Zea mays: one gene and its partners. The protein of the gene in region 3 binds, or shares a complex with, the protein of the main gene of each other region. Links are inferred from orthologs where the notes say so. Each region holds a gene or a part of one and is shown on either strand. Other genes may lie near its edges. The genes, in order: Actin-related protein 4, Actin-related protein 6 and SWR1 complex subunit 2.

Region 1 (3,930 bases), on a different chromosome or scaffold from region 3:
AGCCGGGCAAGGGCTGGCCCTGAGGCCAAAGTCTGGCGGTCGGGCAGACACGAACGGCATCCAGCAGGATCTGTTGGCTGCGTGGGTGCCCTCGTACGGGGACGGGTTGCGCGCGGTGAAGAGATCGTCGAGCGCTCCGGAGTTCCAGGATTCGGACAGCGTCAGCCTCGCCTCGGCGTGGCTGAAGAGCAAGTGGAACCTGAAACCGGATTATGCCTTCACCCTGGCGCTGTTCGACGGCATCTCCAAGCCTCTCCTGGACAGCATCCCCAAGCCTCTCCTCGACAACATCCCCAACTCGATCGTTGCTTGGAGAAACAAGGCGGCCAGAGATTAGCAGCTTCGTTTCGTCTCTTTACAGCCAACAAAAAAAAAGGCCTCGAACGGTTGGACACACTGTGCTGAAATGGCGTGACGGATACAGTGACACATTACTTGCACATACATACTGTGCTGAATCTATTGTGCCAAAGCAGCAGCAGCAGCAGATTGGGAGCTGGGAGATGAGCCTGGGGGTGTATTCTTTTCATTTTTGTACGTACACATCTAGGAATGAAGGCAAACGCCTGGCAGCATTCCCATGACCTAATAAAGAAATAGCTTGTTCATCCCTCCGCACTAGCAATCGTGGTTGCAGACATTACGGACAGAATGATTGCGGCATCGTTGTTCTGCCTGCTCGCTACACGTTTAAAGTTGTGTATTTGCTCTGCAGCTGGGATTTAAATAACCCGAGTTACAACAATCGTCTTGGCTCTTTGTGTGCTGGCAAAGAATTAGCCCCGGTACAGAACAAGATGGGGTCCCGTCTCATTCTACAGAAGGGGAGACAGATTCAGCATACTGTCAATGATAAATATTTTAGTTGACCTAGTTCTTACGTTCACCTTACATCACCTAAAATTAACTAGCCATGAAGACAACAAACGTCACTTGAAAAGAGTCTCGAGTATTCATTGGCCAACATGGCAAGGCACCAGGCTGTTGTACACAAGGAACCCTTTGGCAACAATAAGGCTCGTAAAGCATAATATTGGTTGTACATATTCCTTCCCCTGCTTCAAGGGCACTTTCTCTGAATATAGGAAACCCCATGCTCTTCATACCTGGCGCGAGACACATGGCACGCCTCATCAGGTGTCCAGGGCAAGTATAGAAAAAACAGAGGGCCTATCAAATATCGAGCTTACTCTGCTTTGGAGAACCACATCTGCTGGAACGACCCAAGAGATGCTAGAATGCTCCCTCCAATCCAAACACTGCATGTCAATTCTCCAACAATTCAGCCATGTCATTTGTAAGTGCCAGCAATAACCTAATAAATAAATATTCTAGTCTGACCTGAAACGTCTCTCTACTGAGTTTCCGCTTGCCATAACCTTGACACGAGCAGCTTGAGGAGACTCCTGTAATAATTCAATGTGGTAATAATAGCTAGCATTAAAAATGAGTAAAGAGCGACTTCACCATTTCTAACCAACATGAACAAAGAGAATTGTTTCATAGTTATCAATATCAACTAAGGTCGCAAAATACGGAAAATATGTACAAAACAATCTAAAATACTCCCACCATTTCATTTGTAATAGTTTCATAGTGGGAATTATTAAATTATATTGAAATGAGAATTTTAAAGCACCTTTTATGGCCTGTTTGGTTCAGCTTTTTTCTGACCAGCTTTTCTGAAAATCTGGCTGTGGGAAGAATCTGTGGTATGTAAGTAGAGGGACTCTAACTCTCATCAGAGGATGACACTATGAGTTGGGGCAATTTTCTGTTTATTTCTTCAAACACTACACAATGTCATACCCTTAGAGGGGTTGGGGACACATATTTATAGCCCTAGGGGCTGCACTACACTGCACTACACACTACACTACACGCTGCAGCACACAGGTGCTGTCCTTTAGATACTAAAGTGCAGTCAAAACTGCTGTGCTGCTACTGCTGTCCTGCGCAGTCAAAAAACTGCAGCTGCATGCTGTCCTGCTGTAACTGCTGCTGTCCTGCAGCAGTCAAAAGGTTGCTGCTGCTGCGCAGTCAAAAGACTGCTGCTACTGCTGTCCTGCAGCAGTCAAAACTGCAACTGCTGCTGACCACATGACTTATTCCATCATTCTCCCCCTAAGTCTTGTGCGTCGTCTTGTGGGAAAGTTGGGCCATCCCGGACCTGGAGCAAAGCTCAACAAACTTGATCTTCCCAAGGGGCTTGGTGAGCAGGTCTGCAAGCTGATCCTTGGTGTTGATGTAACGCGCCTTGACGCTCCCTTCTGCCAAGCAGTCTCGGATGAAGTGATATCTCAGCCGGATGTGCTTGCTCCGTTCATGGAACACGGGGTTCTTGGCCAATGCCAGAGCGGACTGGCTGTCCACCCTGAGTTCCACCGCTCCAGTGTCTCTCCCGAGGAGATCACCGAGCAGGCGAGCCAGCCAGAGCGCCTGAGTCGAAGCAGTGGACGCCGCTATGTACTCGGCCTCGCAGCTGGACATGGCCACCACCTGCTGCTTGACTGACTGCCAGCTGATGGGGCACTTGCCGAGGAAGAAGAGGATCCCGCTTGTGCTCTTGCTGGTGTCGATGTCGCCGGCGTGGTCGCTATCGCTGTACCCGACAAGGTGTGCCTCCCCAGGGCACCTCGGGTAGTAGAGACCGTGGTCGAGAGTCCCCGCAACATAGCGGATGATCCTCTTCACAGCCTGCTCATGCTCCGTCGTCGGTCGCTGCAGAAACCGACTAACGTAGCCGACGGAGTATGCCAAGTCAGGCCGTGTGTGGACGAGGTAGCGAAGGCTCCCCACAAGACGCCGGTACTGTGTAGCATCCACCTCCTCCGTCGTGCTGTCGCGACTCAGCTTCAGCCTCTCCTCCATCGGAGTGAGGGCTGGGTTGCAGTCGGTGAGCCCAGCCAGCTCAACAATGCGCTTGGCGTAGGCGGTCTGGCGAAGTGTGATCCCGGAGTCTCCCTGGTGCACCTCAATCCCCAGATAGAAGGAGAGATGCCCCAGGTCACTCATTTGGAAGGTGGCCTTCATCTCTTCCTTGAACGCTGCCACCTCTGCATCCTTGGCGCCGGTGATCACCAAGTCGTCGACGTAGACACCCACCAGCAGGGCACTTCCTCCATTGCCCCGCCGATAGATGGCCGCCTCGTGCGGGCTTGGCATGAAGCCCATCCTCTTGAGCGTGGAATCCAGCTTGGCATTCCACGCCCTTGGTGCCTGTCGCAAGCCGTAGAGAGCCTTGCGCAGACGCAACACCTTGCCCTCCTTGCCAGGGATCGCAAAACCTGGCGGCTGGTGTACGTAGACCTCCTCCTTTAAGTCGCCGTTAAGAAACGCCGACTTGACATCCATGTGATGAACATGCCAGCCCTTCAGGGCTGCCAACGCGAGGAGTCGCACGGATTCCATCCGTGCTACAGGGGCGAAGGCATCGTCGAAGTCGATCCCCTCCTGCTGCAAGAAACCGCGTGCCACCAAGCGAGCCTTATGCTTGACGATGGCGCCGGCTTCATCCCTCTTCAGTTTGAACACCCACTTAAGGGTGATCGCGCGATGACCATGAGGGAGATCAGCGAGCTCCCAAGTGCGGTTCGTCTCAACCGCGTCCATCTCCGACTGCATCGCGGCACGCCAAGCCGCATGTTTCTCGGCCTCCGCGAAAGACCGAGGCTCACCATCGTCGCATGCAAGATGCAACTCTCCTGCCAGAATGCGAGATGCAGGGCCTGGCACCGATGGGTCGATGAGAAGGCCCTCCACCCTTCGATACCGCAACGGCTCGCCGTCGTAGCACGCGTCGACGCGCTCCTCGTCGCGGGACAGAGGGGTCACGAGCTCCACTGGGTCGTGCTCGACACGAGCTGGTGTCGGAGAGGACGTTCCCGGAGAGGGTACCGCCGGTGCTGGAGTACGTGGTGGCGAAGAGCT
Region 2 (4,401 bases), on a different chromosome or scaffold from region 3:
CTAAAGAAACAACTTACAATCTTTCGGTGAATCTGGGGAACAGTGTGCTTCCACCTGTCAAGATGATGCTGGAAACATCCCAACAATGTGAACTCACATGCATACCATGTTCAAAGATCAATGCAGGTGCAGATGTATGTAAATGGAAATGATACCTCTCAAAAAGCACAGGTTGAAGATATGGATGGCAAGCTTGTACAGCACGAACTATACACTCAGCAAGCCCAGCTTGATTTATGCCTACAAATATGCACAGCAGAGATTAGTATGGCAACAAATGAGAAGCTTAGATAATGTGCTAACATAGCAGAGTACAATTGTTATGAAACTAACATTACTACTGTGCGGAAGAAAGATGGACAAAACAATGAAACTCTTCTGTTCTATTGTTTACCAATGTTAAAGGAAAAACAGAATAGTTGATGTAAATTCACCAAGATGTGATTAATATGCATATGAAGTTATGAAGGTCAACTGAATTGCTACTTTTGAGTCACTGGCAAGGGATATTATCCGAGTAGTAAACTAGTAATTGAGATTAGGTATGTCAATGGTTTTGCATTCCAATGTTAAGGGCAAATCCTCCCCATCAGGAAAATGAATTGGTGGTTGGTCATGTGCAGATGGGAAGAAATAATTATTGTGCTTTGCAATGGTTTTAGGAAATACACTGAAAAGTAGCATGAGACCGATATGCTGTTCAATAACTTGAGAGCACATATGAGAGAATATATTCAAAATCTTATGAGCAAAAGTACACAGGACATAACATTGTCACTAACCAAGATCAATGGGATGAAAAAGCATCTCTGGGACAAGGAACCTCTCGTTTGTCAAGACAAATTCCTACAGAGTTAAAATCTCATCAATGATATCATAATACCACATGGCAGCCAATACCAAGGAGGCGAGGATGTTACATTTTGACTTAATTCTGCCTTTTTCCGATCCTCGGACTTATTTGTATCCATACCATGGTCTTTGCTATCTGATACTTGAGGCAGGGTGCGATATCTAAGTGCTTCATCCATATCCTTGACAAACCCTTTCTTGTATGTTATACCATCAGGGAGAATATAAGAACATCTAAAAGGGTTATCCTTAAATGATAACCTGCCCAGAAATTGCACAGCAAGCTGCTAAGAGATTTGAGTAGCATAAAATCCCATAGTTTAGTCAACTCATTAGTAGGTCCCCATTTCAAAGGAATGTGATTTTACATCATTTAACTCATTCTTTCTTCCCTAATACAGCACAATATATTTTAAGAAAATGCCTCTAAACAACTTTCAAGCAAAGGAAACATGTACTTAATAACATTCTCTTAGCATCCGTCGACATTAATGGCATCTGGATTCTGGAGTTAGCATTGTAAATTCAGGGTGCTTTACGAAGACACTATAAACAACAATATGAGAAAACAAAAGTCCCAAGTATAGGATAGTCCCAAAAACACATTCCAGTGTCCTTAGGTTAGTTATCTATTTGTTTGTTTGACAAAGATAAGTTTTGTGTTCTTAAAATTCAAATGCTAAGGTCTTTCAAGCCTTCTAATGCCTATAGTGAAGTTTCAGCTCAAAATGCTAGTTCACCAGCTCCCACAAAAACATGTGTGCATGCACAACACCTCTAGTTCTGGAAGCTACAAAATCCAGTTTGTCAAAAAAGGTTATCAATGTGTGCACTTAAATTGGTTAAACAGACAAAGTTCAAACACTAGATGTTCCTAGATGGCCCAACCTTTAAATTTATTCAGAACTTACATGAAACATTAACCCTAAACAAACAAAAGAAGGGTTGGCACATGAAAGGTTATGAAGACAGCTGACCTGGCAAGGTGTAGATCACCAGGGACATCAAGCGAGACAAAACATAGCTTTTCCTTTGCATCATCAATGAGGAGAGTTTCATCCATAACATTAAGGGAACGGTATGAGACGAGCTCCTTGAGATAGTTTGTAAGGGCCTTGCCGCCAAGGTCCATACGCCGAACACCATAATTAAGAGTAAAGTTCTGAAGTACAGGGGATGCATGGGTGAAAGAGAAGCCACAGTCAACAACAAGGCTGCATTGGGCACGAAACATCATTGGTTGTCGGCTAGCCTCATAAAGGTGGACAAGGGAAGGACCATCTGCAACATAAAGCGAGTTGAAGCCAAACTCCTCGAACACTAGCTCATCAGTTGCATGCTGTATCGCTGGAGGGTTAAACATGGGTTCCACCAGTAACAAGGACGAGTTAGTAGGATCAACCTGGAGAAGATTGCGCAAAACCCGTTCCCACACATCCCTCTGCACCTCGGTATTGATAAGATAGCCACGGTCAATAGGACGCTTCAAAGTCATGCCAGTCACATCGACATCTTCTGCCTGCAGCTGGTCAGCCACAAGCCATTTCTTCGAGCTGGCATTGCCACCAGGGGGTTTGGCCATACAGTTGGGGACAACAGCAATTGGATCATTGTCCCCCCCAAAGCCAGCCTTGAGAAGACCACCCCCATTGTCTATCACCACCACACCCGATCCACCCGTCATTGAATATCCCTATCTTAGTTCAACCTCTTCTGAGTGCCAGGAGTACCCGACAGCAATCGATTAAGCGACGATTGATCGCCGTTTAAGCGTTTAATGCCCCCCCAGGCCACACAGTTGCGCGCGTCGTTCCCCTGTCCCAGCCGATCGTGCGGAGAACTCACCTCTCTCGTCCGTACCTGTCTCTGCCGCTACAGGATCCGCCTGTCCGCCACACTCCAAGCCCTGCGCGTCCGCCACTCCTTGGCTGGAAGTGATCGACCAGTGGCTGGCGGCGTTGGTTTGCCCAGCAGACGAAAGAGAACAAAGGAAAGGGGAACGGGAGATGGCGGCGGTATAGGGCGCTTGGAACGGGGGTTCATGCCTTCAGGGAGTAGGACGGGAGGTGGATGGGATGCCCGGCGGCGGCACTTGGCGCAGGGGACTTGCGGCGAGCATGGCGTGGCGGCCGCGTCAGGGTTTCGAGGAAGACGGAAGACCAGCCAGGGCTGCCGCACGATGTGGGCCAGCAAAACAGATGGGCCTTCACCGCCGACAGGAATGAAGAAGAAGAACTAGGGCACTTTCGTGGGCCAGCAGGCGCTTGTGGCCTCCGCGGCTCCGCCGGATGAAGAACAGGAACGCCAGGTGGGCTTAAAGACCTAGGCCTATTTGGATTCGTAGTCAGGTACTGAAGTAGTCAGGTGGGTTTGCTTAGACTCTCGACAGCGGGCGCCTCTTCGTTCAGAAAGTATACGTAATCTCTAGCCTTCAGAGCATGCTCTACTTCACCCTCTCACTTTTAAAACCAGATGTTTAACCATCTAAGAGCTAGTTTGAGAACCCCATTTACCCAAGAGATTTTATTTTCCCAAGAGAAATCAGTTCATTTTCACTTGATAAAATGAAAATCACTTGAGAAAATGGTTTTCCCAAACTAGCCCTAAACTTTATAAAAGCGGACAAATAACCTCCAAATAATTTTAGTTAACTGTTATGATGACATGACACTTGTTTAAATGGAACTATTTTGTCTTTTTTTAATTCTGTTTTTTCTACTACCATCAAAATTTTATACAATTTTACACAAATCGATAATTAGATATTATGTTAGCTGTAATTTTCTATAACATTTCTAGAAGCCATTTAATTACTAAAAATAAAAAAACTACACAAAAATAACTTAAGAGTTTTGTCTCTGATTCATTTATTATCTTATTAAGCTAAAACTTTTACTAGAGTTAAACAATACTATTCATAAACTACAAAATTTTGTGTTGCTTTTATTAAGAAAGATAGGTGTCCTTTCGTCTAATTAATAATTAAATTAATTTTACATTTGTTTTTTAGAAACACCTAGTAACAATAAAAAATGATCTCCATTTTTTACATAGATTATCTCTTAGCTAAACTAATATATACAAATATTTTCAGATTTTTTAAGAACATTAAATCTAAACCTATATAAAATTCTGAGAAATATTTACATATTTATGGGTCTAGATTTAAAATTCTCAGAAAAATCTGGAAATATTTGTGTATGTTAGTGTAGATAGGAGAAGGTTTGTGTAAAAAATGGAGATTATTTTATTAGTGTTTGGTAAGTTTTATAAAAAACAAATGCAGAACTGATTTAGATAATAATTAGAAGAAAGACCACTTAACTTTCTTAATAAAATCAACAAAAAAAATTCTTAGTTTAGTAATAGTGTTGTTTAGCTCTAGTAAAAATTTTGGTCTTATCAAAGAAGAAATGAATCAGAGACAAAAAAATATTAAGTTCTCTTTATGTAGCTTTTTTGTAATTAAACTATTACTTCTAAAATTTTACAAAAAAATTATGGTGAGTATAATATCTAATTACCAAATTTGTGTAAAACTACATAAAA
Region 3 (4,624 bases):
TCCTCTCTCGCACGCCTGTGGTTGAGCTCCGCCCGCAGGTCCTCAGTCGGTGCGGCCCTCACCGAGGGTGAGCGCACTGACGCCGATGCCTCATGTTGACGCCATGATGACCGAGGCCTGGGCCTGGCTGAGCCAGAATGCGCCATGCCGAGCAGACGGTCGACGTCGTCACACCACTGCTTCATGGCCCCCGGTGAGGCCGTGGAGCTAGGAGGGTGGCACAACAACTCCCTGGCAGCAGACAAGCCCCCAGGCGCAGCCCTTGACGCTCTAGATGTCTGCACAGGAGTGTCTTGCCGTGCAGAGCGCACAACAGCAGCACCAGGCGCAGGGCGGTTGGAGGCCCGTGGCATGGAAGACGTAGCCTCTTCCTCCATCGGGAAGTCCTCGGGAATGAAGTCGTGGTGCTCGATGATCTGAACCATGGTGTCGAGCAAGAACACAAGCGAAAAACCTAAAGCCTAACCCCCTACCTGGCGCGCCAAATGTCGGAGAGGAAATTCTCCGGTCGGGTGGCGGAACGCACCCGCCCTAAATCCTAAGTTGAGGAGGGGCCTAAGCGTTTTGCCTGTCTATTGGAAGGTGGAAGAACACACGAGGCACGAGAGTTTAGAGTGGTTTGGGCCGCCGTAGCGTAATACCCTACTCTACTGTCTGTGTGTTGTATTGAGTCTGTGAGCTTGAGAGCTTGTGTGAACTCGAGTGAACTTGTGAGTCGGTCTGAGAGTCTGAGTGAACCTGCCTTGTAACGTTGTGTGACTTCCCATTTATAGCTCAAGGGAGACACATACAAGGATACTGAGCCCCGACATGTGGGCCCAGGAGCAAAATGGAAGGAATACACTATGCAAGTCTGTGGAATGGACATGCCGCTGCCTGCCAGGGGAATGGATAGGTCTCAATAAATGCTGAGGCGGCACATCGCCTGCCAGAGGAATGTACATGTCTCAATAAATGCTGAGGCGGCACATCGCCTGCCAGAGGAATGGACATGCCTCTGCCTGTCAGCGGAATAGACAGGTCTCAATTAATGCAGAGGCGGTACACCGCCTGCCAGTGGAATGGACAGGCGGCGCGCCTTATCCTCATTAAATGCAGAGGCCGCGTAACCCAGAAGCCTTACGTCAGGCTCCGCTCGTCGGCTTACGTCACGTGCAGTAGGCCACGCGGCAGCATCGGGTCCCCGCCTGGGCGGGGAGCAGAAGCGTATACGATAAGGTCTGGACACGTGTCGGCTCCGGACCCCCGCCTGGCCTTGATTAAGGCCTGAGTATTTTCTGTCCCAGAACCCCGGGACCCTGCTGTGAGCGGCCCGGACCCCACACAGAGGGGTCCGGATCCCAGCCTAGGGGTCCGGTTTGCACCCGTGGAGGTCCTAGACCTTACCCGGAGGCTCGGTCTGCATATACAGGGGTTCGATACTTTCCCATGGGGTCCAGACTTACTGTTGACACCTTGGGATACATCATCTTCTCTGACCACGTGGCGGCCCCGGAGCCGTCCACGTGGTGGGGTCGGGTGCTGTTGCTGGCCCAGAGTAGTTACTCGAAGCTGGGGTGAGTCACGGCCTGGCCCCACACACAGCTCCTTTACCACGCGACCAAAGATAGCTGCGTGGGTGCTGTGTCTTCATACAGTAGTAGGGGTAGGGTACCGACAAGATCTAAACAAGCACTACACCTATGTATTTTTTTATAAATAAAATTTGAATATTTTGTAGAACTGAACCTGCCCACGCGACTGACCAAAGTTAATAACCGGGCCGGATGGGCCGGCCCACCGTCGCTGCTAGCTCATTCATTTCTTCTTTCCCTGCCGGGCCCCGGCGGCCTCTCCTCTCCTCGCTTGTCCCCACCAGGCGCCATGGACGCTGGCGACGACGAACCCCCCGTTCTCCTCGACCGCGCCGCCCGCGCCTCCCGAGGCAAGAGGTCAGGCTTCCTCCCGGCGCCGATTCTTGTTCTCTCCCGGTGGCTTGCTCCTGTTTGAGATCGAAATCATTCCTCTTTTTCAGGATAACCAAGCTGCTCGAGGACGAGGTCGAGCAGGACGAGGCTTTCTGGAACCAAGAAGCCCTCAAGGATGTAGGTTGCAGTCGGTCCCCACTCGTTCTTTTCTTTCCCTCCTCTTGGCAGAAACGGATTAGTGCCGCTCCCGCAGCTACTGGGGGATTGATTAGCTTTAGGGTTCTTCTCATTTCTGACTTGCAGTTTCGCGAGTTCCTCCTACCATGTACACACAAACCCTTGTAGCGTGCTGCACTTGTCGTCCCTGACGCGTTGTCATCTCCTCGCAGGAGGAGAACGATGACAACTACGTGGAAGAGCCGGATGCTGGTGACGAATTCGACAGTGATTTTGGTGAAGATGTGAGTTCCTTCCATTCTCCCCCTCCGCATCTCCTGTTTGTCCATTATATCCGTGTTGTGTTCCTAGAGCTGCCATTAGTGTACACATCCTTTCCCATCCTTTCTAGTTTAGCATCTCACCGAGTATTCGAGTGCCTTATGCCAACATCTCTGTACCTACACAGGAATCTGAAACTGATGATGAGCCGGAGAAGGAAGTACGCGAGAGGTAAACATATTCCTTGCTGTTAACCATGCTGGTAGATTTCATCATGTGAACGTTTGTTACTAATTCCCCTCCCATGCCCGTCTCAACTATCAAATAGATTACCTATCAAGAAACGGCTAATGTTTCCTGGCAAGACGCTGAGGAAGACCAACGTCAAGAAGAAGAAGGCGACCCCAAAACCAGAAGATGGCACAAAAGCCGACAAGTCTGCTGATAAGCCGAGTTCATCCACACAAGCAGATCTTCCTGATGAACTGGAGGCTGAGAAGGCCATCCGGAAATCAACCAGAACGTCGGTCATCGTGAGGCAAGCTGAAAGAGAAGCGATACGTGCTGAAAAAGAAGCAACGGCCAAGGTATGTACCAGATGTTGCAAGTTCTCCACCGCTGTTATCAGACGTTGTAATTCCATTGAGCATTTGAGATACTTGTGTAGGACATAATGTTGTGCTACTTGGATTAGTTCGTCTGCTGTGGCATTTTTTGGAATTTGTGTTGGCTTACTTGTTACTCTCTGCTGTACCTTGCCAGCCGATTAAGAGAAAAAAGGAGGGAGAAGAAAAGCGGATGACACAAGAGGAGATGCTTTTGGAAGCAGCTGAAACAGGTTTAGACAATGTTTCACTTGTACCGTTATCCAGAAATACACAGATGGAGTTTGCCAGCATGCCTTTTACATTTTATTCGTTTGTTGTCTATGTTTCTAGAGATCATGAACATGAGAAATCTAGAACGTGTCCTGGCAAGAGAGGAGGAAGTGAAGAAAAAAGCTGTTGTTCATAAGGACACTTATGAGGGTCCTACAATTCGTTTTTTCTCAAGAGATGGTAATTTCTTTATTGGATTATCATCACTCACTTGTTTGCATATGAATTCTGAATTTAGAAAATCAGGAGTTCCTTACTTGATCATCAGTATTGTGCTCAATTAGGGGAATCACGTCTGGAATTCATAAATGGAGCATCATTTGGGTCTGAACTTTGTACAACATCATCTCCTTGTAAGTGCCACAGTTTTGTTCGTACTCTATTATCTGTTCTTTGTTGCTAGCAGTTCCTTTAAAATGTGTGTGTGCTGAGAAGTTCTGATTCAGTTTGCTTTGCTAAGTCTAGTTCTTTTGGAAAATATTTCTGTTTATTACAGATCCGGAGAAACCTGTTTGTGTGGTGACAGGACTTCCAGCCAAGTATGGTTTTCTGACCCCTGTTTATGATATCCCTTCCTGTTCCTTGCATTCACACACGAGTTTCAACCCCTCCCCCCTGTTTTGTTGTTCATATATGTTTCATTTTAATACAAGTAATAGATTAGATAGACACGAATCCTTCAATGTTTAGTAGCTGCATTATCTTTGACTGTGGTTTTTATATGTTCTGGATCACTCAGATCGTACCACTACCAGTGTGTGTATGGTCTGGAAACCCCGAGACATCTTGTGGCTTTAATTCTTAGATATTTTACCACGAACCATGGAAACAAGTTCAAGTGTGCCTACCTGACGGTTGCTCTTTGTTTAGAAATCTGAAATGCTATGGCAGAAATAAACCTGAGGCAGGACTACATATGCCTACATAACCAATTTAATTAGTATAATAAATAAGCAGTTTACACTAGACTCTTGAGGGACGTTTATGCTTATGTGAGGCTTGCTTCCTGTAGATACCGTGATCCGAAGACAGGGCTGCCTTATGCAACTATGGAAGCATTTAAAATAATCCGGGAGAGGTACATTTTGTTTGTTCTCATAGATTCCTACTTTGCTCTGACAGCTAAGTCGTAAACCACTTGCCTGCAATGTTTCTTAAGAAAAATACTGCTTTCTATCTGGATGCGCAATCAAAACTTGCTAACATCTCTTCAACTGATCCATGCATTCAGTTTCCTGAAAGAGGAGGCTGATAGAAAGCGTCCGAACATGTCGAATATGGGAGAGCTTTTCGAATCAATAACTGGTGGACACTTGATGCCTAAGAAGAGAAGGGTTGAGATAAGGTCTCCGAACATGTTAGGAGGCTCTAGGCATGGCGGGCGTACCTGGCGAATACCTG

The links.
Region 1: SWR1 complex subunit 2 (region 3) and Actin-related protein 4 share a complex: the UniProt entries of both Arabidopsis thaliana proteins name them as parts of the SWR1 chromatin-remodeling complex. The link is inferred for Zea mays from reciprocal best matches to the Arabidopsis thaliana genes SWC2 and ARP4.
Region 2: SWR1 complex subunit 2 (region 3) and Actin-related protein 6 share a complex: the UniProt entries of both Arabidopsis thaliana proteins name them as parts of the SWR1 chromatin-remodeling complex. The link is inferred for Zea mays from reciprocal best matches to the Arabidopsis thaliana genes SWC2 and ARP6.

What each region holds. Positions count from the first base shown.
Region 1 is NC_050096.1:2,967,414-2,971,343, forward strand, and holds the end of Actin-related protein 4, read right to left. Parts: intron 1,407-3,930; coding exon 1,342-1,406; intron 1,260-1,341; coding exon 1,191-1,259; intron 1,107-1,190; coding exon 1,061-1,106; 3' UTR 729-1,060; downstream 1-728. Other genes in the region: peptidoglycan-binding LysM domain-containing protein, read left to right, coding at 1-337. UniProt on the Arabidopsis thaliana protein: Involved in several developmental processes including organization of plant organs, flowering time, anther development, flower senescence and fertility, probably by regulating the chromatin structure.
Region 2 is NC_050105.1:40,330,559-40,334,959, forward strand, and holds the start of Actin-related protein 6, read right to left. Parts: upstream 2,954-4,401; 5' UTR 2,537-2,953; coding exon 1,830-2,536; intron 1,114-1,829; coding exon 921-1,113; intron 847-920; coding exon 783-846; intron 241-782; coding exon 156-240; intron 69-155; coding exon 18-68; intron 1-17. UniProt on the Arabidopsis thaliana protein: Component of the SWR1 complex which mediates the ATP-dependent exchange of histone H2A for the H2A variant H2A.F/Z leading to transcriptional regulation of selected genes (e.g. FLC) by chromatin remodeling. Binds to the promoter region of FLC chromatin.
Region 3 is NC_050101.1:6,995,785-7,000,408, forward strand, and holds the start of SWR1 complex subunit 2, read left to right. Parts: upstream 1-1,794; 5' UTR 1,795-1,863; coding exon 1,864-1,931; intron 1,932-2,014; coding exon 2,015-2,084; intron 2,085-2,296; coding exon 2,297-2,368; intron 2,369-2,532; coding exon 2,533-2,576; intron 2,577-2,673; coding exon 2,674-2,932; intron 2,933-3,107; coding exon 3,108-3,183; intron 3,184-3,283; coding exon 3,284-3,403; intron 3,404-3,507; coding exon 3,508-3,576; intron 3,577-3,719; coding exon 3,720-3,762; intron 3,763-4,235; coding exon 4,236-4,301; intron 4,302-4,454; coding exon 4,455-4,624. UniProt on the Arabidopsis thaliana protein: Component of the SWR1 complex which mediates the ATP-dependent exchange of histone H2A for the H2A variant H2A.F/Z leading to transcriptional regulation of selected genes (e.g. FLC) by chromatin remodeling.